7 linked regions of the Canis lupus familiaris genome follow. The main gene of each other region encodes a partner of the protein of the gene in region 5 in a complex. Links are inferred from orthologs where the notes say so. Each region holds a gene or a part of one and is shown on either strand. Other genes may lie near its edges.

Region 1 (3,999 bases), on a different chromosome or scaffold from region 5:
GAGAGGGAGCAGCTGTAGGAATGTCAGAAGAAGGGCGTATCCACCAGAGGGTGCAATGTGTGCAAAGGCCCTGGGGCTGCACTTTGCCTGCTGCGTTGGCTGCAGGAGGCCCCGGGGGAGGGGGGAGGGGAGGTCAGAGGCTGTCGTGGGGCAAGCCTGGGGCACACCTGGGAGGCCTCGTTGATTGCCTTGAAAAGCCGGGGTTTTCCTTTGCTGTTGCTGCATTTCAGCTGAGAGATGGGGGAGGGGGAGAGGAGGGAGAGGGCCACAGATGGGGGCTCACGTCGGCGCCTGCAGTTCTGAAGGTGGAGGGTTTGCAGTCGGACAGGATGGACAGGATGTGGAGAAGGGGCAGGACGGAGGAGCGGAGCTGCCGGCCCAGGGCGGACAGACTAGGGAGAAACGGGTGTAGACGGCAGATAAGAAAAAACGGGCTGGCGGAGGGGGTGCCTGGGGGGCTCCGTTGCTTAGGCTTTTTTTTTTAATTCTCGAGAGACAGAGACAGAGAGACAGAGAGAGAAAGAGAGAGAGAGAGAGGCAGAGACACAGGCAGAGGGAGAAGCAGGCTCCACGCAGGGAGCCCGACGTGGGACTCCAGGTCTCCAGGGTCACGCCCTGGGCTGCAGGCGGTGCTAAACCGCTGAGCCACCCGGGCTGCCTTTCTTTTTTTTTTTTTTTTTTTTAAGACTATTTACTCCTGAGAACCGCTGGGGGAGAGGCAGGCTCCTGCGGGACCCGATGCGGGACTCGAGCCCACGATGCGGGGATCACACCCCGAGCGGACGCTCAGCCACGGAGCCACCCGGGCGACCCGAGGCTGCTGCGCAGTAAGGCGGCGGCGACGCCCAGCAGCGGGATGCGTACCTGGTGGGGGGCCTGACAACATGCCCTGCGCCCCGGGGAGGCGAGCTGACCGCTGACCCCACCCTGGCCTCAGTTTCCCCGCCCACACCTCGCCTCCGCCCTTCCGGATTCCAAACTCCCCACCCACACGGGCATCGGGCGGAAACCACAACTCCCGACAGGCCCCGCGGCCGAAACCCCGCGACAACTGCCGAGGCGAGAGTGGGCGGTCCCGTTCGCTCGGCTCTGGCTCCGCCCACCGCCGCTCGCAGAAGGCCCGGGCTGCCCTCGGCGCTGCCGCCCGCGAAGGTCTCTGGAGTCCGGCGTTCGCTGTGGGCAGCCCCGCGCGGGGCTTGGCAGGGCTCGGCGCAGGCGCAGTCAGCGCGGGCCCCTGCCGCGGGCTCAGGCGCGCGGGTTGCGAGCGGCGGCCGCCATGGACGACGAGGAGGAGACGTACCGGCTGTGGAAGATCCGCAAGACCATCATGCAGGTGAGCCCGCGCGGTCAGGGCGGCGGCGGGCGCAGCTCGGAGCTTCCGGGCGCGCTCGGCGGGTGCGTCCCGGCCTCTGCGGCCCCTTCCTGTGCGGTCCCCACGCGCTCGGAGGCGCCGGGCCGCGGCCCTGTCCGTCCTTCTCCGCGGTGACGTCATCCGGCCGCGCCCCTCCCGCCCCGCCCTCTGAGCCCGGGGGTCACCCGGCTGGTGCTCCCTGCAGCTGTGCCACGACCGCGGCTACCTGGTGACGCAGGATGAGCTGGACCAGACGCTGGAAGAGTTCAAGGCCCAGTTTGGGGACAAGCCGAGCGAGGGGCGGCCCCGGCGCACGGACCTCACGGTGCTGGTGGCCCACAACGACGACCCCACCGACCAGATGTTTGTCTTCTTTCCAGGTGAGGGTCGCGTGGGTCCTGGGTGGCTGCGTGACCCCTAGGAGTCCGCAGCCCTCGTGCAGCCATCCAGGGACGGTGTCTACACCCGCCCTCCCGAGTGCCCAGCCTGCTGCGCACGGTGCCACGGGGTGCTGATGGGAGCCCTGGGTTCTGTTCCCCGCTGACTGTTCGTTCAGTGCAGCCGGATTGTCGCAGGCCTCCCGGGGGGCCCAGCCCCCTGCCCAGAAGCAAGGGCGTCGGAAACCTTTGCAGGAGGGACCCTCCTGGTGCTCGTGCAAACAGCGTCCCCGTGTGTGGGTCGGCCTGTGGCAGGGCCCTCCCTGGAGTGGGCCCGGGGCGCCCGTGTGCTCCAGTGGGCCACAGAATGGGACTGAGCGGCCGTGCTGGTCCACCTGGACCGCCGCGACTGGGCGCCGCAGACCGGGCGGCTTCAGCAGCAGCCTGACCTCTTCCGGGGCTGCAGGCAGGACGTCTGAGACCAGGGTGTGCACGGGGCTGGGTCCCCCTGAGGCCTCTCCCTGGCGTGCCGGTGGCCGTCTTCTCCATGAGTTCCCGAGGTCGTGCCTCTGTGTGTCTGTGCTGTTGTGTCTGACTGAGGTCCATCCTGACAACCTGGTGGAATCTCCTCTTTAAAGACCTCAGTTCCAAGTACGGTTGCACCCGAGGTCTCGGGGGTTAGGATTGTAACACGGGGATTCCGTGGGAAACAGCTCAGTCCCTGACGCTGCCCGTCAGGTGAGCAAGGGTCCGAGGGGAGTGCTGTGATGGGGCAGATGTGGTGCACCACACGCACCCGTCCTGGCAGCAGGCACCCAGTTGCTCACCTTCCACCAGGCTCAGAGGGTCCCGCAGGTCTTGGCCCCTGTACTGTGGTGAGCGTGAGGGTTCCCACCGTGGCTGTGCAGGGAGGGGGTTTGGTCCTTCAGGTCAGCTGCTTCATCTGGGGATTCCAGACATTGCACCACGTAGGTCCCCAGATTCAGCTTCCAGGGAGGGATCCACCAAGTGGGTAGATGCAGGGCACCCATCAGCTCCGTGGGGGCTGGGGGGGAGGACTGGCACCCTGGTGGGTTCCCTGGGGCCCTAGAAAGAGGGAGCTGGTCCAGAGAGGCACTGCTACACCTTGGCAAGGTCAAGCTGGAGCCCGCGCGCCTAGCAGGGTGGAAGTGAACGAGCAGGTGAGTGAGCAGGGCCCTTGGGGCAGGAGGGACTCTTGCAGTGTAGACCTCGTGTGTTCTGTCCCCAGAGGAGCCTAAAGTGGGAATCAAGACCATCAAGGTGTATTGCCAGCGGATGCAGGAGGAGAACATCACCCGGGCCCTCATTGTGGTACAGCAGGGCATGACTCCCTCCGCCAAGCAGGTGGGCACGCTGCTCGTGTTGGCCGCACGTCCTCATGGGCCCCAGGATCTGGGGATCTGAGAAGGAGCGGCTCTCCCGTGTGGGCAGAAGCCAGAGCAGGGAGGTGCCCTGCATGGGTGCCAGCATTCCTGTGGTTAACAGGTCCGAGGAGGGGCTGCTGTTTGGGACGGAGGGCCAGCTCTGTGCGCTCGTCCCTGCAGGGTTCTCTACGTCACACCAGCACAGGGACAACTGCAGGAGCATTTTGTTAGGTGTCACAGTTTGTGTCGGGTGGTCTCTTCCTCCCAGAGGAGCCTTACTGACCTGACACGTGGGAACCCCCTTTGGCTCCCACCTGCCCTCAGCCCCTGGGAGAGGTGGGGTGGCGGCGTCTTGGGCCTTGGCTGTGCGTGAGGGTCAGCCTCTCTTTCAGTCCCTGGTTGACATGGCCCCCAAGTACATCCTGGAGCAGTTTCTGCAGCAGGAGCTACTCATCAACATCACGGAGCACGAGGTGAGGGCCTTAGTGGGGGTCTGCGGGAGGGGAGGCTGGACGGCTGGTGAGGTGGCACCTGCCCGAGCACAGGGAGGGCCTGGGGACGCACCAGGTGCCGCTGCTCCCACTTTGTGGGGAGGAGGAAGCAGAGCCGGAGTCTCAGTGAGGCCCTGGGCACTTGCCAGGTGTGCAGTCAGGCAGCTGGGGGGCAGGGGGTGGGGTCTGTCCAGGGGCCCCTGCACTCTCCAGGTTATACCCCCCCAGGCGCCTGCAGGCCATAGCTCCTTCCCCCCAGGCGTGGAGTCAGGAGCAGGGTGGGGTGGCAGCTGGGACCCTTGGGTGGATGGTTGACTCCAAGGAAACAGCCTGTGGCGCTCTGCTCCCCTTTCCCGTGTGGGGGCGCCGTGGGGCCTGTCACACCCACAGACTCA
Region 2 (4,114 bases), on a different chromosome or scaffold from region 5:
CAACAAGGAAGCTACCTTTCCCTCCCCCTTTCCCTGATACCTGGCAAGCTGGGTATATTCTCCCAAAAGGTTCCCACCCAGTGGCTCAGACAGGCGTAGTGTCTCTGCAGGGTCCCTTGCAATGAAGTCAAATGCCTCAGGCAGGAAAGCCAGGCAAGCACCCAGTCTGGCAGCCTCTCGAACAAGCTCGGCGCATGTTTTAAAGTTCTCCTGCTTGTCTGGTGTTGATGTTACCTGGCACACAGCCACCAGCGGCAGTTCCCAGGAAGAAGAGGAGATAGCCATGGCTCTGGGACTGTGAATGGCACGGGCAGGGCTCAGACTTCCAGAATGGGGAAATGCAAATTTAACAATCAGAGTCTTAAGTGGGGGAGCAGGAGGGCTGCGCTGCCCTTTGGTTTCTGCTTTTCAGGGCTCCCCACTGATGAAATGTTCTGTGATGGTTGGCACCCCAGTGTATCCCACCATCTATGCACATCACAGACATTTACTGAACATCTATTAAGTGTCAGGCGCCAAGGACAGAGCAAAACATGTTACCTGGGCTGTGCACAAAGTACTGAGAGTCGAGGTATCCGGAGTCCAGGACACAAGAGAAGGGGCAGGAGCTGGTGAGGAGGCCTGATGATGAAGCCCAGCCTGAGGAAGGTGAGAAATCAGGACACCACTCCCGCGCTCAAGCAGCACATTTCCAGGATTCTCTGACTCCTCTCTTCATACTGGGAGGCTGAAGCAGGGCCCTCGCAGAGAAACACCCCCCCTCCCCACCAAGTCTTACTGGGAGTAATTATGGGCTACAGGAAGACTCATAAAGTGGGAAGACAGAGGAAGGGGCTTTGCTCGGCACCTGTCTCGGCTCCAGTGGGCTCGTATTAGATTGAAGCCCCCCCACCCCCACCCCGCCCCCGCCCCCACCTGCCCGCCCGGGGGAACATACCCGCGGTTCAAAAGGCATCCCCAAGAAACCTCCCTGCTCTCCCCAGCCTCTCCCCTTCACTGGGCACCTGCACGGCGGCACTGCTCAGCGGATGCCCCCTTACCCCGATCTCCGAGGGGAAGCTCACCGTCCCTCGCCCCTCCCACCCCGTGGGGGGCAAAGGGCACCGGCACCCACACACATCCCAGCCCGCGCCCCCACGCTCCGGTCAACCCGGCCTCTCCGCCTCTCCCAGGCGCAGCGGCTCCCTTGCACGGGTTAAAGCCCCGCAGCGGAGTGCACCGCTGGGTCCTACATGAGGATAGAGCCGAAACCGTCGGCAGCGTCCGACCGGAGGAGCGGCCTGGAAGCGGCGGCCCCGGGGCCAGGGGGCGGCAACCTCCAGGCCGGATGTGACGCACGGGGGCGGGGCCGCGCAGGCCGGAAGCGCAGCGGGCGGCGAAGATGGCGGAGAGCAGCGGTCGCGCCGGCAAGAGCAGCGGCGGCGGCGCGGGGAAAGGGGCGGTGTCGGCAGAGCAGGTGAGGAGCGGAGGGCGCGAAGGAGGGCAGCCGGGCCGGGCCCGAGTCGGTGCGAGGAGCGGGCGGCGCCGCTGGCTGGGGCAGGCCCCGCGCGCGTCCCGGCGTGGCGGGGCCGCCCCGAGAGGGGAGGGTCCTCGGAGAAGCTGGCCGGGTCCGGGGGAGAGCGCGGGAGGGTTGGTCGGTGAAGGCCACGCCCCCCCCGGGGTGCAGGGTGAGCCGGCCCGGGGCCCGAGCCCGGCGGGAGGGGAGGGGAGGGGAGGGAGGGGAGAGGAGGGAAGGGAGGAGAGGGAGGGGGAGGGGCGGGGGGCGGGCGTGGCTCTGCCTACCTCCCCGCACCCTCCCGCAGGATAGGCCGGGCCCGGCGGCTCGGCACGAATCCCCGGGGATGAGCCGGCGGGCTGGCCGTGTGGCCTGTTCGGTGACCCCGGCACCACGCTGACCGTCGCCCTCACTCTGCAGAGCCACGTGACTCGCATGCCCCAGCAGTCCGCCGTCCCATACTATTTTGACCCGCACGTCGTTATTAGATTGGATTTCCTGAGCGACCAGAAACCGTGTTGTAACCCGAGTTTGCATCTCCCCCAGTGTCTCAGCAGCGGGAGACGTGTGATAAACAACCCGGAGAGCCTTTTGTGGCGCGCGGGGAGCCCTGGTTTGCTAATGGCGGGGCTAGTGTGTAGTCTGGGTGGCAAGAAATCCCCGCGACAGAAGGGAAAACCTAAGACAACAGCTCTTCTCGCTGCAGGCTCGCTCGCTTGTCAGTTATTTGTCGAATAGTCACCGCAGGCAAAGGTGTCTCCATAAAGATTTTTCAAGTTGGCCCACGCCATCAAAGAGCTCACAGTGAAATAAGACCTACTAAGTGCTAACATAAGGCCGAAGATGAGTGTCCTAACAGGTATAAAGTGCTGTGGGATTTTTAAAAAATATTTTATTTATTTATTCATACAGACACAGGCAGAGGGAGAAGCAGGCTCCATGCAGGGAGCCCAACGCAGGACTCCATCCCGGGTCTCCAGGATCAGGCCCTGGGCTGAAGGCAGGGGCTAAACAGCTGAGCCCCCCCGGGCTGCCCAGTGCTGCAGGACTTTGGGGGGGGGGAACGATAGTTTCTGCCCCCCGACCCGTGTGTTGTGGTGGGAGGAAAAGGAGAAGGAACCTAATACTTTCTGAGGGGTGGCTAAGAGCATAAGAAGTGCCCTAGGGTTGGCGGATCTGTTTTAGAATCACGGTTCTGCTATTTATTATGTGTAGATGACCTCCCATGAGTTCCCTCTCTCACCTTGTAAAAATTTGGCAGTTCATACTTCATCACTGTTTTGATTATTATTAGACAAGAAATGCATGCAAAGTGTTTTGCACAGTAATGAGTATAGTGTTTGTTTTTCTGGGAGAGATAATCCTTCAGTTCTAAAGGATGAGAGAAGTTAGTCAAGCAAAGAAAGAAGCGGAGGGACCCCTGGATGGCTCAGCGGTTTGGCATTTGCCTCCAGCCCAGGGTGTGATCCTGGAGACCCGGGATTGAGTCCCACGTCGGGCTCCCTGCATGGAGCCTGCTTCTCCCTCTGCCTGTGTCTCTGCCTCTCTCTGTCTCTCTCGTGAATAAATAAATAAAATCTTAAAAAAAAAAAAAAAAAAGAAGGAAGTGGAGAATTTCCTAGGCAGAGACTAATGTCCTTAAAAGCAGTGAGGCATGAACCTTTCTGGCCTGTTGGGGATGCAGGTGGGCTTAAAGTATGGGGTGGACTGCAAGACTTCAATGTGAAGAAAACGGGATAGAGAGGAAACTAGAATGTTTCTCAGATTTATGTCTTTGATGGATGCTTGTTCATAGGCAATGTAGGAAGATAGGAAATGCCTAGGGGGGTGGGGAATATGTTTCTCTTGGGGTTTTGAGTTTGGATTTCTTGTAGGACATTCAAGTAGAGGTATTTAATAGTTGGTTTGATTTATAAATTTTGAATTACATTTGAGTCAGAGAACTATAAGCTTATGGAAGGCTGATAAAGTCATGGTAATGGGGGTAGCCCCGGTGGCGCAGCAGTTTGGCGCTGCCTGCAGCCTGGGGTGTGATCCTGGAGACCCGGGATCGAGTCCCACATCGGGCTCCCTGCATGGAGCCTGCTTCTCCCTCTGCCTGTGTCTCTGCCTCTCTCTCTCTATGTCTATGAATAAATAAATAAAATCTTAAAAAAAAAAAAAAAAGTCATGGTAATGGGCAAAATCATCTAGGGTTTGTGCAGAAAGTTGAAAAAAGAAGCAGCAGAACAAGGATGGAACCAATATTTAAGGGGTTATGGAGAAAGAGAAGAAGCCCTCCAAAGAAAGCGAGCAGTTGTGATAATTGAGTTCTGAGGCTGTTCTTGCTTAACATTCTATGGCCTTTGTGTTTCAGAGAGAACACTGGATAAAAAATGTAAGATTTATTGGGGCACCTGGCTGGCTCAGTACATAGAGCATGTGATTTTTGATCTTTGGGTTGTGAGTTCAAGCCTCATGTTGGGCCTAGAGCTTACTTAAAATGTTTTTTAAATTTTTTTATTTACTTATTCATGAGAGACACAGAGAGAGAGAGAGAGAGAGAGAGGCAGAGACACAGGCAGAGGGAGAAGCAGGCTCCATGCAGGGAGACTGATGTGGGACTCAATCCCAGGACCC
Region 3 (2,941 bases), on a different chromosome or scaffold from region 5:
TTCGTGTTTTCGACTTCGAATGTGGCAGCTATACCAGCGTTGGCAGGAGAGTAATGAAAAAAGAACCAGGTGTTATGTGGGGTGCCAGGAGAGTCACACAGTTCCTCTTCATCCAACTCACTCATATGCTCTCCCAAGCTGCAATCCCTCCTCACTCCCAGCTGGTCCTCACCTTTTTGGATTTGTCAATGCGACGGAACTTGCGAGCCACTTCCTCAGGGATGGGAGCAGGGCCTGGAAATGGATCCTGGGCCTGGGGAAGGAGGAAGCAATTAGCAGACAGGTTAGGGTTGACCCCAACCATCGCACCTGCAAAGTACAAGGCAACTTGCCCCACCACCTTATCAGGTCCCAGGCTCACCCCGGACAAATTTCTCTGAGGCTCAAGATTTCTCTGTTCTCGAGGTTTCTTCGGGAACTGAGGCTTCCCGGGGATCCGAGACTTTTTTGGGAGGTTAATGTTCTTTGGCCTCTGGGGGCGGAGCTCTCGATTCCTTTTCTTGTTACGAGGGGGCCCTGGAGAGGCTCCGGCAGCGGTCAGAGTGGCTTCCTTCTCCCAGTACCTCCGCGGTTTCTACGGGCAGATCACAAGCTCTAACACTCCATAGCCCTCGCCCCCCCACCCCCGGGACCCCGCAGCTAAAAATTTCCCTTCCACCCTAGCGAGGTCTCTACCTTCTTCTTGGTCTGAAGTCTGGCCTTCTTGGGCTGGACATCTCTGCCGGGTTTGGAGGCTGTTTCCATCTAGCCCACCGGAACGACGACCCACGTGCAAACTTCTCTCAGCTGTCCACAGACGGCTCGGAAACTCCCGGAAGCCCGCCGGCCCTCGTCCAATCAGTGCCTACCAGGTCTGAAGCCGTCTGAGCGCCATCTTGAATGAGGGCCCACTCTCTCTCGAGGGGCGGGGCAGGTCTTGGCTCCGCAATCCCGAGCAGCCGCTTATGCCCGAGTAATGAAAGAAAGGTAGTCTGGGGCTGGGGACAAAGTAACGGTGCAGTTTTTTTTTCCAGCTCCGTTTCCCTGTCTTGCCTAAAACCTCCCGGGTCCAGTTTTCTGGGGGAACACCGTTCACTAAACGTGCCAAAACTACAGTTCCCGGCATGCGTCAGAAGACAGCTTCCGGCGCCTTCTTTTCCCAGCATTCTTTGTTTACTTCCAGGTTTAGTAATAGTGAAGCGAGAACGTGAGTATGGCTGGGTTACGGTTGAGGGGCTTGGGGTCTTGCTGCGCCCGCCACCTCCTGGGGCCTGCGTGGAGGGCTCTCTGGGACGAGGAGAGGCTGTGGTGCCCTGGGAGGCTGCCTCGCAAGAGTGCTGTCCTTTCCGCAGGCCGGGCCAGAAAGGGGAGTTTAGGTACCTCCCAGAGTGAGACCCAGCGCCCGCTCCCACTCCCCGCGGGCCTTCGTCCCCGCCATGGCTGAGCTAATCCAGAAGAAGCTACAGGGAGAAGTGGAGAAATATCAGCAGCTACAGAAGGGTAAGGGAGCAGCGTCGGCGCGGCCTCGCCCCAGACCCTTCACTTACAGCCCAAAGCCAAACCAAGATAATATGTTGTGCCCCACTAGAGGCCCCGCGTGCAGCTCCTTCCCCATCTCGGAGCTCGTCCCCACCCACTGACCTGTTGCCGCCTCCTTGTCTACTTCCTCAGCTCCGTTTTCTTCTCACCAGGATTGGGGTTAGGCGGCACATGTGATGTGTTTAATCAACCCTTTCTTCCTAACCCCCAGACTTGAGTAAATCCATGTCGGGGAGACAGAAGCTTGAGGCGCAGCTAACAGAAAATAATATCGTGAAGGAGGTGAGAGAGGGATATGCCGGGCCAGAAGGGACCTGACCTGGAAGTGATTCTGATCTTGTATGTCCCATCCCTCCATCAGGAGCTGGCCCTGCTAGATGGATCCAACGTGGTCTTTAAACTTCTGGGTCCTGTGCTGGTCAAACAGGAGCTGGGAGAGGCTCGTGCCACAGTGGGGAAGAGGCTGGACTATATCACAGCTGAAATGTGAGTCTTTGTTCTGACACCCTGCAAGGCACCGGACGCCCCCAGCGTAGAATGTCGAGGAGCCGTTGGAGTAGTTCCAGGGTAGCCCTGTCTGATCTGCTTCCTCAAACCCTCCACGGGGAGTCCAGGAGAGTCCAACCCTTCAGCACCCTCAAGAGTAAATCCCATCAATTTCTCATTTGCTTGTCTCTCTTGCCTCTCTTCAGTAAGCGATACGAATCCCAGCTCCGGGACCTTGAGCGGCAGTCAGAGCAACAGAGGGAGACCCTGGCTCAGCTGCAGCAGGAGTTCCAGAGGGCCCAGGCAGCCAAGGCAGGGGCTTCTGGGAAGGCCTGACCCCATGGGGGGGGGAGGGAATGAGGCAGCTCAAGGGTCTATGCTGTAGCTAATAAAATGTGAAAACCCCTGGCTGTTTTCTGACCAGCCACTTCCTGTCATGATGGTCTCTTCCTTGGGCCCCTTCAACTTTATATATATGCCACCTGCATTACTCTGTTCGGTCCCAATTCTCGTGACTGGAATTGCCACAGAGTAATCCTCCTTTTTTCACTGAGACTAAAATCTGAAACGTCTCACACCTACTTGCCTATATACACTACGCTTGCCTTGGTTGGCATGCCCCTTAGGAAACATGAGAAGAGCATTTACCACGCAATGATCATTGGGAAGGCCAGTTTAACTACAGAGCTCACGGTAATCTAAACTGAGACCCCAGGGTGAAATGTGGTGACCCTCTTGCTATGCTTTCTTGTCATCCTCCAGAAAGCCCCAGCATCTTAGTCTCATTCTAGAATTTGTTTGAATGAAGTTTAGGCTGATTTAAAATCCCAGCATGGAACACTTTGTGATGTTGTAAGGCCCTCAAGTTTATACGTTATCCACAAAGTCATTCTTCCATTTCTTTGTCCTAAAATTGTTTCTTACAAATGTCCAACCA
Region 4 (2,868 bases), on a different chromosome or scaffold from region 5:
GGTAGAGGTCAGTGATTCATCAGTCTGTGCCCTCCTTCATGCCCATCACCAGGTACCCCCCGCCCCCTTCCCTCCAGCAACCCTCAGTTTGTTTCCTAGAGTTAAGAGTCTCTTAGGTTTGTCTCCATCACTGATTGCATCTTATTTTTTCCTCTCTTCCCCTATGATCCTCTGTTTTTTAAATTCAGCATGAGTGAGATCATATAATTGTCTTTCTCTGATTGACTTACTTCATGTAGCATAACACCCTCTAGCTCTATCCACGTCTTTCCCAATGGAAAGATTTCTTTTTTTTTTCTGATGGCTGAGTAGTAGTCTAGTGTGTGTGTGTACTACATCTTACATATACTACATCTTCTTCATCCAATTTTTGTGTATTTAAAACTCTCACACATGCATATACATTCTTAAAACTTTAATAGATAATATAGAAGGTTTAAAAAATCTTTGTTTTAAATACTAAATAATTGCATCCTTTGCCAAGAGACATGAAAAAATTCTGTAAACTGTGTCATCATCCGAATGTCTTACTCCTTTTAATCAAAAGAGGTTGTATGGTCCAAGAAGAAGAAAGAATAGTAGGGATCTGCCTAGCACTTGTGTTTCTGCTCTGCTTCTGAGTTGCTTTGTCCCTCTCACACTCTTGGCCTCTATGAGCATCGAGGAAATGAAGGTAATGTCATGGTCGGTACCAAACAGGCTTTAGAGCCCCTCTGAGGAAGATTATTCCTGTTTTTCACTAGGAACTTCTTTTCCCCCTTCTCAAATCTAGACCAAATAGTATTTATAGTTGTTAACCTTCAGCTCTACTTATTTTATGAATTTATATGTTCAGCTGAAAAAAAAATGTTCTTAGAATTGCTTTTTTTTTTTTAAAGCAATGATTTTTTTTTAAGATCTAAAGTCTCCTAGCAGCACGTTTCCATGGCAATGGTACACACAAGGTCTGTGGGCTTGGGTCTGTGTCATAGAGCTCGACAGTTAGGAACAGAGTCTGCTGCTCATTCTGGAAGTGCTTAGGCGATGTTCCGCAAGTGTTACTTACAGCTTTTGCCTTTGCACTTGCGCTGCCTGTGGTGTCCAGGAAGCCGGATCTAGAGAAGGACTGCGTAAAAGATTATCAGGAACACCAAGCAAGTTTAATAAATAAGGCTAGGTCAACCTAGAACTTTATAATAAAAGAGAATACAGGCTCAAGCTGAGCAGAGATGATGTTTAAAAGTTTTTAGTAGAACCGAGCCCTTTATTTCTTTTTTAAAGCTATATTTTGGGGGATGAGGCTGAGGCTGAAATAGTGTCTATTTGTATAAAACGCAACATGGAGAGATTCTTTAAGTCCTTATCAGCTTGAGTACCCAGCAGAGAAGTAAAAATGGAGCTACTGGACTGTATGTGTATAAATACGGTGTGGAGAACGCTAGGATCTCTGTCCTTACCACTCCGGTCTTGTTTGCAGCGAGTACCCTATTCAGCGGTCAAAGAAAGATTCTGAGGGAGTCGAGATGGGAGTTGCGGGCTCGGTCAGCCTCCTGCAGAACGTCACCTTGTCTACCCAGCCCATTTCCAGTCTCGACTGGAGTCCAGATAAAAGGGGTCTCTGCATCTGCAGTTCTTTTGATCAAATGGTAAGAGTACTGATCGTTACAAAACTCCATAAAATTTGATCCGAAGACTTAGGACCTGAAACCTTCCGGAGGAACGCTCAGAGTATTTAGGACGTGCCCGGGGATCCTCTGGCCCTCACTAGCAGAGTTGGATTTGACGGATGAAAACAGTCCCCAGATGCAAACGTCCAGACCCGCCTCCTCTCCGGGTGTGAAACCCCGAGAGGTGTGTTCCATCCACTGGACTTGGACTGGTTTGCTGCAGCGTGGGGGGACCGCTGTCTCCAGAGCCGGCGCTGCTCATCTCTCCTCCATCTCTACGAAAAAGTTGGTACTTTTCTGCATTTAAACATGTTTTAAATTTGTTCTTCGACCCCAGAGTTACATATTTTACCATAACACCTGGTTTCAAATAGTTCAGTCTCAGTAAAAGTACCATGAATTAACCTTCATATACTTTGAGAGATTTCAGTGTCAGTAAGTTTCTGTACAGACTATTACTTTATAAAATACCGAAATGGCATGGTCAGACTAGATTTGGTAACTGTTTTCAGCTGTAAGACTCCTAAAACGAAATATCATTTACCAAGTGAATATTTATAGTGACCTCTTTTTACCTAAAAAACAGGAGTCAAATTAGACTTGCTTATTGGCTGGTAGGTGATGTTGAGATGTAGAAGATTATGGGGGTTTTCTAGCCTTATTTTTTTTGTCAAATCTTTTCATATATTTTATAAATAAATTTGTTTTTGAAATCTGTGGAAGCTTTGATTCTGTTCACGTAACAGTAGTAATAAGGCCAACACCATCACTTCTTTGCTTTATGAATGCTTAGTAAGTACCTCGTGATCCACGGTTTCATCGTGCTCACGGGATCTTTGGCTCGGCTCAGAGGCATTCACTTTGTCACGCCTTCCTTAAGCCTCCCGTCCCCCCCCCCCAACTCAGGAGTCGGAGCACCTAAAACACTTTAATATGTAAGAGTCCTGTGACTTTATGGGTGCTTGGAAACTCAGTGTTTTGGAGTATTAAATTCAGAAAATTGACCTTTTAAAAAAATCCCCAAGAGGTTTTTTTGCTGTGGTCATAATTATGGAAGTAAACTGAAACTGAATTTAAAGCCTGTACCTGCTGGGTTGTTTTGTTTTTCATTTTTAAAAGAAAAATAAAAAATATGGAATTCTCTTTTAGGAAACTTGTATTGGGTGGTGCATTTAGGTTTAAGTCAAGAACAATAATTACTTCTGTTTCATTAAATCTGCCA
Region 5 (4,045 bases):
AGATTTGCACAGACCTATCTTCAGTTCTTCAGAACTCTGTGTTGTTTTGTGTTAAAGATAATAAACATGGGGGGATCCCTGGGTAGCTCAGCGGTTTGGCGCCTGCCTTCAGCCCAGGGCATGATCCCAGAGTCTCAGGATTGAGTCCCACATCGGGCTTCCTGCATGGAGCCTGCTTTTTCCTGTGTCTCTGCCTTTCTGTCTCTCATGAATAAATAAACAAAATCTTTAAAATATATAAATAAAGATAATAAACATAACACCTCTTTTTTTCCCCATAGGAAAATGGTATAGATTAACTCAATAATAGTTGTCTAACTACCTGGTGTCTATTTCAATCACACGAAATGTAACTTTAACTATATGTAATATTTGAAGATTTACAAAAAAACATTTTAAAAAATTACATGTCCTTTCCAATCATCTTGTTCTTAGGGCAAAGAAAAGCTTGACTTGCTTAGGTTTTGAGCATTTGAAAGAAAAACTTGCCTTTACACACAAAACACACAAAGTATCTGAGAAGACATCACTGGCATGAGTGGGGGCTCTCGGCCCTATAGGCAGGCATAGCATTTGAGGGATTTGGTATCTGTGTTCTCCTTCAGGCTCAGCCAAGACTTGCTGGGTATGATGCTATTATTTGAAAATGTAACATGGGAAATAAATTCATTAACTTGAGTGCATACAAATAAATAAAAGTTTATACATTTAAATAAAGACTCAGGAACATTTCTAACTACAGAATAGCCGATCTTGAGCAGAGGACTTCAGCGACCCGCCACCTGATGCCTCTATTAGACGAGGTAATAGACATAGTGTTTTGTCAATATCTGCTTGGATCCTAGTTATGGATGGCAGGTTGCAAACTGGAGTTACCAAAGCTGAGTTTCAGAGAATCTGTCTCCGTTTAAAAAAAAAAATTTAATGCTCACATTCATTCCCATTACTGGGAATCAAACCCAAATCTCCCGTGCGAAAAATCAAAATCCATGGCGACAGTTCCCGGGATGTACTCTCCTTTTTACAAACCAGAACCATAACCAATTCTTGCCCGTCTGCTTCCGAAGCTCTGACTTTTAAATACTACACGCTTCTCTCTCGCCACCTGTGCGCCCCGCCTCCCCCAGGAACCCGCCAAATCCCATTAAGGCCCGCCCCCGCGAGCCACGCTCAGTCCCCACAGGCTCCGCGCTGCCCCGTTCCCACGCTGCGCGGCCGGGAGTACACTCGGTGGATTCCCTAAAGCCCCGCCCTCCTCTCCTCCGCTTCGCCCCTTTCCAGCCCTTCAGAACCGCCTTTCCCACCCGGCTATTCGGTTGGCCCGCGCCCTTGTGGTACGTCATTCACCCGCGCCACCCGGAAGCCACGGTTTATAGCAACCGTTCTTATTGCCGGCGGCTCTAAGGTGAGGGCCGCGTTTGGGTGTCCCTGGGTGGCAGAGTCCCAGAGTTGGGAGGGGCAGAAGGCGGAACCCCGGCCGGAGCCGAACGAGCCCACTCCCGCTGTCGAGGGGGTGCAGATGTACTGTGCCTGAGGCCAAACTGTGTGGTCAACGTGGTGTGCTCCGCTCCCCATTCCTTAGGAGCCCATCATGGCGACGCCCCCTAAACGGCGGGCGGTGGAAGCCACGGGGGAGAAAGTGCTGCGCTATGAGGCCTTCATCTGTGACGTGCTACAGCAGGACCTGCGGTGAGTGGCAGCGTGGAGGGCCGGGCGTGTGGAAGGTTCCACGTGGGGGGGCGGGGCGTCCAAAGTCAGGGTCTAGCCTTCTGATTGGTGGGAAAGGCATTTGGAGTCCAGCCCCGTGCGCCGATCCGGCGAGGAGGGGCGACATCCGGGGTGCTACTGGGCTGGGATGTGGCGGTTCTTGTAGAGGGTGTGTCCGCGCCTGTCTGGCCTCCCATCTCACTTAGCCGTGGAGCTAGATTCTAAAGCGGGAGTTCTTAGGTTCGAATCCTTGGCCTGGCCCCTTCGCCATCTGTGTGAAGACGTTGTACGCTGCCTCGACTTTGTGTGCCTCAGTTTTCTTATCTGTGAAATGGGAAAGTTCATGGAACCTTCCTCATGGGGTGGTTTTGAGTTTTTAATGTGTTCCCCCCTTGTAAAGGATTTAATGTGAATACTAGGGGCTCTATGAGTATGAAAAATTGTTACTATCACTATTAATCTGAGCAGGAAGTAGAGTGTTCAGAAGCAGGATAATGAACATCCTGAAAGGGATGGAAGATTTTTCTAGGGTGAGAATGGGACACTTTTTTTTTTTTTTTTGAGAATGGGACATCCTGATTGGACGGAATGTGGTAATAGTACTAATAAATAAGAGCTAAAACATATATAGAGCTTAGTTTTTGGTTAGGTGCTATTGTAAGTGCTTTGTAGTAAACAGTTCTCTTAATGACTTTGTGAGGTAATACTTGTCGTCCCTTTTTTAAAGATAGGGAAATTGACTCCTAAAGAGAAAATGAGTCCTAAAGAATTTGCTGAAGTCACACAACTAGTAAAAAGGAGAGCCTAGATTCAAACCCAAGCAGTCTGACTCACAATTCAAATCAACTTCTGCACTAAAATGCTTCTTTAAGGCATGGTGACATGAGGGTCTCAGTCATAATATGAGGTATTCTGACAGGTCCAGGGCTTCCTGTTGGTCACCATTTTCCTCTTGTCCCATCAGAAAAGTGCTGGACCATCGCGACAAGGTATATGAGCAGCTGGCCAAATACCTTCAACTGAGAAATGTCATTGAGCGGCTTCAGGTAAAAACAGCCAAGGTTAGGGACCATTTTGATGTGTTTGGGCAAGGGAGGGGGATGGGAGGAGAGACCCCAGACCAAAACCTGTCAGCTGACCTGAAAGGTGACCACTGACCCCTACCTCTTTTTCCCTGGCCCCACAGGAAGCTAACCCCTCGGAGTTATATATGCAGGTGGATTTGGGCTGTAACTTCTTCGTTGACACAGTTGTGTGAGTGTCTACCTGCCCCTCTGAGCCCACAGGGCTCAGCTTCCCCCTTCCTTCATGCAACAAATATTTTTTTTTGAGTATTTGCTATGTACCAGACACTGTGCTAGGTGCCGGGGATGTGACAGTGAATCGAATAGGACAAAACCCCTGCCCTCTCAGAGCTTCTAATTTGGGGAAGGTGGGAGGAGTGGAGTAAAAAAAAATTGCCAATAAACTGTATAGTATGCTAAACAGTAATAAAGACTTCCCCCACTTCCTCTAACCATTGTTTCCTCAGCCCAGACACTTCACGAATCTATGTGGCGCTCGGATATGGTTTTTTCCTGGAGTTGACACTGGCAGAAGCTCTCAAGTTCATTGATCGTAAGAGCAATCTCCTCACAGAGTAAGTCCATTCTATGAAGTGTCTAAAATACCACCATTTGCAACATCCTTTTCCCTTTCCCCATGGCTCTCTGAGATGATAGATACTTAAGGGCCCATTTCTCCTCCTCCCCAGGGCTAGGGCTGAGGAAAGTAGAGATGCAAAGCTCAGCCCCAAGAATAGCACATAGGAAGCACTCCATAAATGGTCTTGATATTGCTCACTCACACACACATTTGTTGGCTGTTCTATGCCAGGTTCTGTACTTGGCAGTGGGGAGGCCACAGTGAACAAGACAGAAGGGTTCCTTGAAGGCCTAATCTTGACCAGATCCAGAAGGTTTTGGCCTATAAATCAGTAAAACAAGTTACCTCCCGATTTCACCTCCTCCTAATTTTCTTGCTCCTTCACTGTGCTCTCACCACACTGATCTTCCTGGGCTTCTTGAAACACCCTCAGAGTGATCCCATCTTAGGGTAACCGCGCTCTCTGCCTATAACATGCTTTCCCTGGGTACATGCATAGCTTCCTTTTTCCTAACTCAGTTTAAGTCTTTTTTTATATAGTTTTTTTAAAGATTTATTTATTTATTCATGATAGACACACAGAGAGAGAGAGAGAGAGAGGCAGAGACACAGGAGGAGAGAGAAGCAGGCTCCATGCAGGAGCCCGACTCGAGACTCGATCCCGGGACTCCAGGATCGCGCCCTGGGCCGAAGG
Region 6 (4,013 bases), on a different chromosome or scaffold from region 5:
TCCAATCATGAAACAATCCAATCATGAAATGGGCAAAAAACATGAACAGAAATTTCACCAAAGAAGACATAGACATGGCCAACAAGCACGTGAGAAAATGCTCTGCATCACCTGCCATCAGGGAAATACAAATCAGAACCACAATGAGATACCACCTCACACCGGTGAGAATGGGGAAAATTAACAAGACAGGAAACAACAGATGTTGGAGAGGATGTGGAGAAAGGGGAACCCTCTTGCACTGTTGGTGGGAATGTGAACTGGTGCAGCCACTCTGGAAAACTGTGTGGAGATTCCACAAAGAGTTAAAAATATACCTGCCCTACGACCCAGCAATAGCGCTGCTGGGGATTTACCCCAAAGATACAGATGCAGTGAAACGCCGGGACACCTGCACCCCGATGTTTATAGCAGCAATGTCCACAATAGGCAAACTGTGGAAGGAGCCTCGGTGTCCATCGAGAGATGAATGGGTAAAGAAGCTGTGGTCTATGTATCCAATGGAATATTACTCAGCCATCAGAAAGGACGAATCTGACCATTTGCTTCGACGTGGATGGAACTGGAGGGTATTATGCTGAGTGAAATAAGTCAATCGGAGAAGGACAAACATTATATGGTCTCATTCATTCGGGGAATATAAAAATTAGTGAAAGGGAATAAAGGGGAAAGGAGAGAAAATGAGTTAAAATATCAGTGAGGGAGACAGAACATGAAAGACTCCTGACTCTGGGAAACGAACAGGGGGTGGTGGAAGGGGAAGTGGGCAGGGGGGTGGGGGTGACTGGTGACGGGCACTGAGGGGGGCACTTGACGGGATGAGCGCCAGGTGTTACGCTATACGTTGGCAAATTGAACTCCAATAAAAACATATACAGGGACGCCCGGGTGGCTCAGCGGTTTAGCGCCGGCTTCGGCCCAGGGTGCGATCCTGCAGTCCCGGGATCGAGTCCCACATCGGGCTCCCTGCATGGAGCCTGCTTCTCCCTCTGCCTGTGTCTCTGCCTCTCTCTCTGTCTCTCATGAATAAATAAATAAAATCTTAAAAAAAAAAAATATATATATATATAAAAAAGAGGCAGCTCCGCGGCCCACGCCCTCTGAGTCTGCAGGGGGCGCTCCAGCCCCGCCCCCAAGGCTAGGCCCCGCCTCTCGCGTCCCCAGGGCGCCCGGGTGTTAGCGCCTGCGCACCACTCTTCTTTTAATTGCGCGTGCGCGCCGGAAGGCCTGGCCGTGCGCTTGCGCAGCCGAAGCCGAGCCCTACCGGCGTTGGAGCTGGGCTCGCTCCCCGGTCCGGGCTGAGTCGGAGCTGGCGGGCCCCATGCTGTCCCCCGAAGCGGAGCGGGTGCTGCGGTACCTGGTGGAGGTGGAGGAGCTCGCCGAGGCGGTGCTGGCGGACAAGCGGCAGGTGGGAGGCTCCTCCGCGGCCCGGGGCCAGGGCTCGGCGGTCGGGGCCTGGCGGCTGGCGCCGTAGGGCCGCGCGCGGGGCCCGGAATCCCGCGGTGGCGCGGGCTGGCCGTGGGCTCCCGACCGTGACCTCGGACCTGGGGCGGCGGGGAGGGAGGGAGGGAGGGCCGACACCTGGCCCGGCGCTGCGCCTCACGTACGTATTAGGAGCGCCTGCTTGGTGCCACGGATCCCTGTCTCCGTCCCCCTCCGGATCCCGAGCCGTTATCTCTTTGGGTAACGGCTCAACACCTTTTTCAAAATGCAGTTCCTCCTCCTCCTCCCCCCTCCCCTGCCTCCCCTGCCCCCCCTGCCCCCCCGACCGTGGGTGCACTGTCTTCGCCAAGGTTCTCGGGAGGAGAGGAAAGGGGGCCTGAGCAGTTTTGACGTTGGGCAGGTGGGGACGCCTTGTGCTAATTTAAGTGCTAAGTGTTTGGAGGGAGTTAATGGGGGAAGGGAGGAGGATGTAATTGGATCTGGGCTTTAAAAAGATTTCCCCTGGCTGCGGGGTGGAGCACAGAGCCTAGAAGGGTAAGGGACATGTGAGGGGCCACTGCCGGGGTTCAGGCAAGGAGTGGGTTTGGGCCAGGGTGGTGGTGAAGGAGACAAGTGCGTGGGTCTGAGGTATCTTTTGGAGTTGGATTTAGTAGGTCTTAATGATAGTTACATATGGGGGTGAGGGAGGAGGAGGAGTGAAGAATGATTCATGGCTCCTCATCTCCAGTTAGAATAATTGGATGATTGGTCGGATATTTACTGAGAAGGGGAAGACTTGGGTAAGTGCCCATTAAACACTGCATCAGGGTGTGCGGGATGATGATAACGTGGTGGTTAAAATGTCTCAAGCACTTACTGTGTGTCAAATACTATGCTATCTCATTTGATTCCTGGCTCAGTAACCTGTGAGGCAGGTGCTATTCATATCTCCATTTCCCAGAAGGTGATGTTACACAGCTCGCCAGCGTTCTCAAGAAACCGCACTGCCTCCTCACTTCCATAGCAGCTTCTGTGTTGGTGCCATCTCTGTGCCCCCCACCCCTGCCATTGCAGTCTAGTATTTTTGGGCTTCTTGTGATACTAGGTCAGCATCAGCCGGAGGAACTAGTCCAGGGGGAGGTTTCTCCTCTCTTGGAGATTCTGAAATGCCCTGAAGCTTGAGCATTAGCACTTCAGTGGATTCCCCAGCACCTTCTGGGGAGAAGGGGGAGGGCCCCTGCACAGAGCATTGTCTTTAAGGACCTGGATACAGAATAGGGGAAGATGTACATTTACACATCAGTGTGTTTTAGGCATGACATTGGAAGAAACTCAGGAATGAGTTTGTCTCTATTGGGTTTTAACAGCCCCTGGTCTGTTGGGAGGTGATGGTTTGGGGCAAGAGGGAGCTGAGTTCCCTCCTGCCCATGTGCTTTGCAGATTGTGGACCTGGACACCAAAAGAAATCAGAACCGGGAGGGCCTACGAGCCCTGCAGAAGGATCTCAGCCTCTCTGGTAAGTCAAGGTTTCAGTCATGCAGTCCTGGGGGCCTGTTCTGTTTTTCTTGTAAGGCTTTCAATTTATCCCTGATAGGGACAAAAAGCCACAGTTGTGTGACACAGCCTATGGAGATGAGGGAGAAAATGTTGGAGGTCTGATACAGAGTGGTTTCAGCTGCTCATCTCCATGACAGGGGTGGGGTGTGTGGGGGGGGTGTTAGTTGCTGGCTCATTGATGGCACGAGGAAGGTGCTAGGGTGAGGTGTGCTCTTACAAATAAAACTACATAATACTTAGTTGGAAGTTTTTTGTTTTTGTTTTCTTAATTGGAAGTTGTAAGCAAGCTGAGGAAGGAACTGGACAGAAAAAAAAAAGGGAACTGGACATGGGGTGGGTGTTGGAGGAAGGGTTTGAGGGCTCTAGTTGAGGCCAGGTGGGTATGACCAAGTAAGGGGACGGGTATCATAATGAAGGTTACAGTGGTCATAATGAAGAACTTTGGGGGGAGATGTGCAGGGCCTACGCCTCACTTTCTTCAGGTCTCTGCCCAAATGTCACATAATCAGTGAGGCTTTGTTGGACCATCTGTTAAAGTCAAGGTTGTCTTGTACTCTGGCATTCCCCACCCCCTTACCCTGCTTTATTTTTCTCCAGAGTATTTAGCCTTATCAGGGTCTGACAAATCATATCTTGGCTTATTTATTCCTTCTCCTCCACTATGTCATAAGCTCTATGAGGGCAGAAACTTTGTCTTGTTCTGCTGTGTTCTCAGTATCTTAAACAATGCTTGCCAGAGAGTAGGTGCTTAAAATATTTGTTCAAAGAGTGACCATTTGCCATTTCAGAAGATGTGATGGTTTGCTTCGGGAACATGTTTATCAAGATGCCTCACCCTCAAACGAAGGAAATGATTGAGAAAGGTAAGGCTTTCTGGGGATGGGTCAGGGACGTGTCCCACATAGCATTAGTCTTAACCTAGAACTGAGAATCAGGCTTTGGACCATTTGATGAGAGGCAGCGCTCAGACAAATGTGGGTTTTAATTCCTGCTTTGCCACTCTGAGTTATTTCCTTATCTCTGAAGGAGGGGAT
Region 7 (3,499 bases), on a different chromosome or scaffold from region 5:
GGTGAGCTCCATGGCTCTAAAATTTTCCCCCGGCATTCTTAGGCCAAAAGCAATATTAAGTTTTGTTCTATAAGGTCGTTAGGGCTAAATGACCTAACTGTAGTGATGCAGGCAGTGTCAAACACATCTGTCTCTGTGCATCCCTCAGAAACTCAAAACATGGGACGCCTAGGTGGCTCAGCGGTTTGGCATCTGCCTTCGGTTCAGGGCGTGATCCTGGAGGCCAAGGATCGAGTCCCACATCAGGCTCCCTACATGGAGCCTGCTTCTCCCTCTGCCTGTGTCTCTGCCTCTGTGTCTCTCATGAATAAATAAATAAAATCATTAAAAAAAGAAAGAAGAAAGAAGAAAGAAAAGAAAAGAAAAGAAAAAAGAAAAGAAAGAAAAGAAAGAAAAGAAAAGAAAAGAAAAGAAAAGAAAAGAAAAGAAAAGAAAAGAAAACTCAGAACATCCCAGAGCACTCATGTGTTTTCAGCAGCATCCTGGCATGCCTTGGCACACAGTTTGGGAACTTGAGCCTCAAGGGCTACAGGAACTAAAATACAGAAAGAACATGATCCTCAACTTCCTGATGGAGCAGAACTGCCTGCCTACCGCCCTGAGCACCCGCCTGCTTTGTTTTAGGGAGAAGCTAAAAGACAAACTTTGTCTAGGCCCCCGTACATGGATAGCCTTGTGACACCAGCTAAGTCCATACCCTTCCTGACAGGGAACTCAACAAACATTCCCTGTTTACCCTGTGCCCATACCCACTACCTGGAGCACCCTGTTTCTCCCAGAGACCTCTGGGGAGGCCAGCAGCTGGCTCACCGGGTGATGCCTCGGTTGGTGGCCATGATGAGGACGGGCGCCATGTCACTCTCCAGGGCCCGATTGAGGAAGGAGAAGCTCTCAATGTCCAGCATGTGGACCTCGTCGATAAACAGCACCTGGGAGCCATTGGGGCATGTGTCAAACCTACCCAAGCCTCTTTCCTCCCATTTGCTCTCACTGTGAGCCGCCTGCCCTGGCCACACCCTGGTACTCACGCCAGGGATGATCTCAGCCTTGCCCTCCTCACGCCACTCGGCCACCTTGGCATTGATCTGCTCTCGGACTTCTGACTTGATCTCCCCTGTGTCGCCTGAAGGAGGTGGGGGTGACACAGGGAGTGTCAGAGAGGAGACAGGGACAGAGGGCCGGAGAGTGGACAGAGAGAAATGAAGATGGGACACCAGGGATAGAGGGAAGAGAGATCAAAACTGGAGTGGCAAAGTGACAGAAGGAGTGTCTCATTCGGTCTGCAATGTCCCAGAGAAGAAGACCCGAGGCAAAGAACCCAGGAAGAAGAGAGGGTAGGACATGCAAGCCCCCATTGGGACTATCCAAGAGGGAATGAGGGCAACAGTGTGGGTAGGACGAACCAGGGGGCTGTACTGGAGGTAGGAGGAGCAGTGTGTGCCATGAACAGAGCCAGCCTGCTGGGCCTCACCTGAGAAGAGAGCCAGGAAGCCCTGGGTGCGGGAGTTGATGACATCAATCTCATGCAGGGACACGGTGTGTACGACCTCCTTGCGTTTCTGGAGCTCTCCGTCTGGACACTGCACAAACTTGGTCTATGGGGCCAGGGGGCAGGGAGGGAGAGGTAAGAGTAAAGAAGAACATGAAAGGGGGCCCAAAGGGGCTGTCTGGGTGGAGAGTTGGGGGAGATTGGACTTCCTGGGGTAGAGCTAAGAATCCAGAAATCCCAGGTCCAAGAGGAAGTTACCACCAGGGCACTCGAGAGCACTGAAGGATCGGAGGTTACTGGAGGACCTCAGAAACCATGAGCAAACTGCAAAGATGAAGTGCCCTCCTTGTCCTGGTGGGTACAGGGAAGAACCAGGAGTAAGGGACATGGGGTGGGGCTACTGGAGGATCCGGACCCTCTGGGCCATGGGGGTGATAGAGGAGATGCAAACATCCTGGTGCCTGGAGTGAGCGGACCCCCAAAGCCCTGGCCCACCTGGGAGCCCATGGCATCATAGTCGCGAGCGCGTGTGAAGGAGCGGCCCAGCTTGGAGATCTTGCCTGTGGCCTTGTCGATGGTAATCACATCCCTGCATGTGGAGGAGGGTGGGAGTGAGGACATGAAAGGGCTCGAGATTCCCCCACCCTGACCACCTACCATGGCCCCCTGCCACTCACCCAGCCTGGACCTTGTCCTTAGTCAGGGACTCAATCATCTTGGTGCCCAGGTCGTATATAGTCTCCATCTCTGTGGTCTTGAGGGTCAGCTTGCCGACCTTAGAGCCCTGAGATGGGTGACAGGCCAGCCAAGGAGTTCAGAGGGGGCCCATTGTCTCCCCAACACAGCTTGGAAATGGGCATGACACAGGGATGCTTTAGGGGGCAATGGACTGTGGATATGTCAAAACTTAACATCCTATAAACTCTTTTAAAAATTATTTATTTATTTATTTATTTGAGGGAGGGAGAGGCACTGGTGGGGCTCAGTGGTTGAGAATCTATCTGCCTTTGGCTCAGGTCATGATCTCCAGGTCCTGGGATCAAGTCTACATCAGGCTCCCCACAGGGAACTTGCTTCTCCCTCTGCCTATGTCTCTGCCTTGCTCTCTGTGTCTCTCATGAATAAATTTAAAACATCTTAAAAAAAAAAAAAAAAAAAAAAGAGTGAGAGACGGGCAGCAGGGAGGAAGCGAGGAAGAATCTGACACAGACTCTGCACTGAGTGCAGAGACCAACGCAGTACTCAATCCCATGACCATGAAATCGTGAGATCATGACCTGAGATGAAACCAAGCTTCAGGGATGCCTGAGTGGCTTAATGGTTGAGTGTTTGCCTTTGGCTCAGGTCGTGATCCCAGGGTCCTAGGATTGAGTCCCACATTGGGCTCCCTGCATGGAGTCCGCTTCTCCCTCTGCCTGTGTCTCTGCCTCTCTCTCTCTCTGTGTCTCCCATGAATAAATAAATAAAATCTTTATTTAAAAAAATAAATAAATAAATAAAAGAAAAGAAACCAAGCGTCAGACGCACTACCAAGCCACCCTGGTGCCCCAACATCCTGTACTTTCACTGTGTGCAGCTTATTGTTTGTTGGTTGCTCAACAAACCGATTACTAAAAACCCAGGAAGATAACAAACAACAACTTACCTAAAAGATAAAGTCTTTAAGAACAGCAACATGGACTAGAGGGCCCTGATGTGGGGAGGTGGGAGTGTGCCACACTCTAACATTCCTTGTTTTATGTCCACGTAACTTGTGTTTTTTTTTTTTTTTTATTAGTCACAAACCCAGAAAACAGAGCTAAGCTAAACACAGCTAAGAAAACAAAAATACCACACTTTCTCCCCACAAAATAAGCACAGTCAGTGTCTTCCAGCACATCCACTTGTCTCTTATTTCTAGTGAGCTGTTCTTTTTGTAGGGAAAGATGGCAGGACAAAAGGGCTGGAATTCAGGAGGAAGAGAGAGATGGTTTTGGTTTTACATTTTTATTTTATTATATTTTAAAGATT

The links.
Region 1: UXT (region 5) and POLR2E share a complex: the UniProt entries of both Homo sapiens proteins name them as parts of the PAQosome complex. The link is inferred for Canis lupus familiaris from reciprocal best matches to the Homo sapiens genes UXT and POLR2E.
Region 2: UXT (region 5) and PFDN2 share a complex: the UniProt entries of both Homo sapiens proteins name them as parts of the PAQosome complex. The link is inferred for Canis lupus familiaris from reciprocal best matches to the Homo sapiens genes UXT and PFDN2.
Region 3: UXT (region 5) and PFDN6 share a complex: the UniProt entries of both Homo sapiens proteins name them as parts of the PAQosome complex. The link is inferred for Canis lupus familiaris from reciprocal best matches to the Homo sapiens genes UXT and PFDN6.
Region 4: UXT (region 5) and WDR92 share a complex: the UniProt entries of both Homo sapiens proteins name them as parts of the PAQosome complex. The link is inferred for Canis lupus familiaris from reciprocal best matches to the Homo sapiens genes UXT and DNAAF10.
Region 6: UXT (region 5) and PDRG1 share a complex: the UniProt entries of both Homo sapiens proteins name them as parts of the PAQosome complex. The link is inferred for Canis lupus familiaris from reciprocal best matches to the Homo sapiens genes UXT and PDRG1.
Region 7: UXT (region 5) and RUVBL2 share a complex: the UniProt entries of both Homo sapiens proteins name them as parts of the PAQosome complex. The link is inferred for Canis lupus familiaris from reciprocal best matches to the Homo sapiens genes UXT and RUVBL2.

Annotation. Positions count from the first base shown.
Region 1 is NC_049241.1:58,128,631-58,132,629, forward strand, and holds the start of POLR2E (DNA-directed RNA polymerases I, II, and III subunit RPABC1), read left to right. Parts: upstream 1-1,199; 5' UTR 1,200-1,276; coding exon 1,277-1,333; intron 1,334-1,556; coding exon 1,557-1,731; intron 1,732-2,977; coding exon 2,978-3,093; intron 3,094-3,505; coding exon 3,506-3,586; intron 3,587-3,999. UniProt on the Homo sapiens protein: DNA-dependent RNA polymerase catalyzes the transcription of DNA into RNA using the four ribonucleoside triphosphates as substrates.
Region 2 is NC_049259.1:22,183,246-22,187,359, forward strand, and holds the start of PFDN2 (prefoldin subunit 2), read left to right. Parts: upstream 1-1,314; 5' UTR 1,315-1,381; coding exon 1,382-1,456; intron 1,457-4,114. Other genes in the region: NIT1 (deaminated glutathione amidase), read right to left, coding at 41-295, 541-639, 1,233-1,234. UniProt on the Homo sapiens protein: Binds specifically to cytosolic chaperonin (c-CPN) and transfers target proteins to it. Binds to nascent polypeptide chain and promotes folding in an environment in which there are many competing pathways for nonnative proteins.
Region 3 is NC_049233.1:2,883,259-2,886,199, forward strand, and holds PFDN6 (prefoldin subunit 6), read left to right. Parts: upstream 1-1,144; 5' UTR 1,145-1,186; intron 1,187-1,331; 5' UTR 1,332-1,415; coding exon 1,416-1,479; intron 1,480-1,729; coding exon 1,730-1,800; intron 1,801-1,879; coding exon 1,880-2,004; intron 2,005-2,210; coding exon 2,211-2,340; 3' UTR 2,341-2,441; downstream 2,442-2,941. Other genes in the region: WDR46 (WD repeat-containing protein 46), read right to left, coding at 1-28, 173-253, 362-574, 676-744. UniProt on the Homo sapiens protein: Binds specifically to cytosolic chaperonin (c-CPN) and transfers target proteins to it. Binds to nascent polypeptide chain and promotes folding in an environment in which there are many competing pathways for nonnative proteins.
Region 4 is NC_049231.1:68,505,325-68,508,192, reverse strand, and holds the end of WDR92 (WD repeat-containing protein 92), read left to right. Parts: intron 1-1,456; coding exon 1,457-1,664; 3' UTR 1,665-2,368; downstream 2,369-2,868. UniProt on the Homo sapiens protein: Key assembly factor specifically required for the stability of axonemal dynein heavy chains in cytoplasm.
Region 5 is NC_049260.1:41,479,973-41,484,017, reverse strand, and holds the start of UXT (protein UXT), read left to right. Parts: upstream 1-1,245; 5' UTR 1,246-1,405; intron 1,406-1,582; 5' UTR 1,583-1,591; coding exon 1,592-1,689; intron 1,690-2,671; coding exon 2,672-2,768; intron 2,769-2,893; coding exon 2,894-2,961; intron 2,962-3,238; coding exon 3,239-3,346; intron 3,347-4,045. UniProt on the Homo sapiens protein: Involved in gene transcription regulation. Acts in concert with the corepressor URI1 to regulate androgen receptor AR-mediated transcription. Together with URI1, associates with chromatin to the NKX3-1 promoter region.
Region 6 is NC_049245.1:21,885,703-21,889,715, reverse strand, and holds the start of PDRG1 (p53 and DNA damage-regulated protein 1), read left to right. Parts: upstream 1-1,213; 5' UTR 1,214-1,321; coding exon 1,322-1,408; intron 1,409-2,862; coding exon 2,863-2,938; intron 2,939-3,767; coding exon 3,768-3,842; intron 3,843-4,013. UniProt on the Homo sapiens protein: May play a role in chaperone-mediated protein folding.
Region 7 is NC_049222.1:108,061,521-108,065,019, forward strand, and holds part of RUVBL2 (ruvB-like 2), read right to left. Parts: intron 2,274-3,499; coding exon 2,167-2,273; intron 2,079-2,166; coding exon 1,985-2,078; intron 1,596-1,984; coding exon 1,472-1,595; intron 1,124-1,471; coding exon 1,029-1,123; intron 930-1,028; coding exon 811-929; intron 1-810. UniProt on the Homo sapiens protein: Possesses single-stranded DNA-stimulated ATPase and ATP-dependent DNA helicase (5' to 3') activity; hexamerization is thought to be critical for ATP hydrolysis and adjacent subunits in the ring-like structure contribute to the ATPase activity.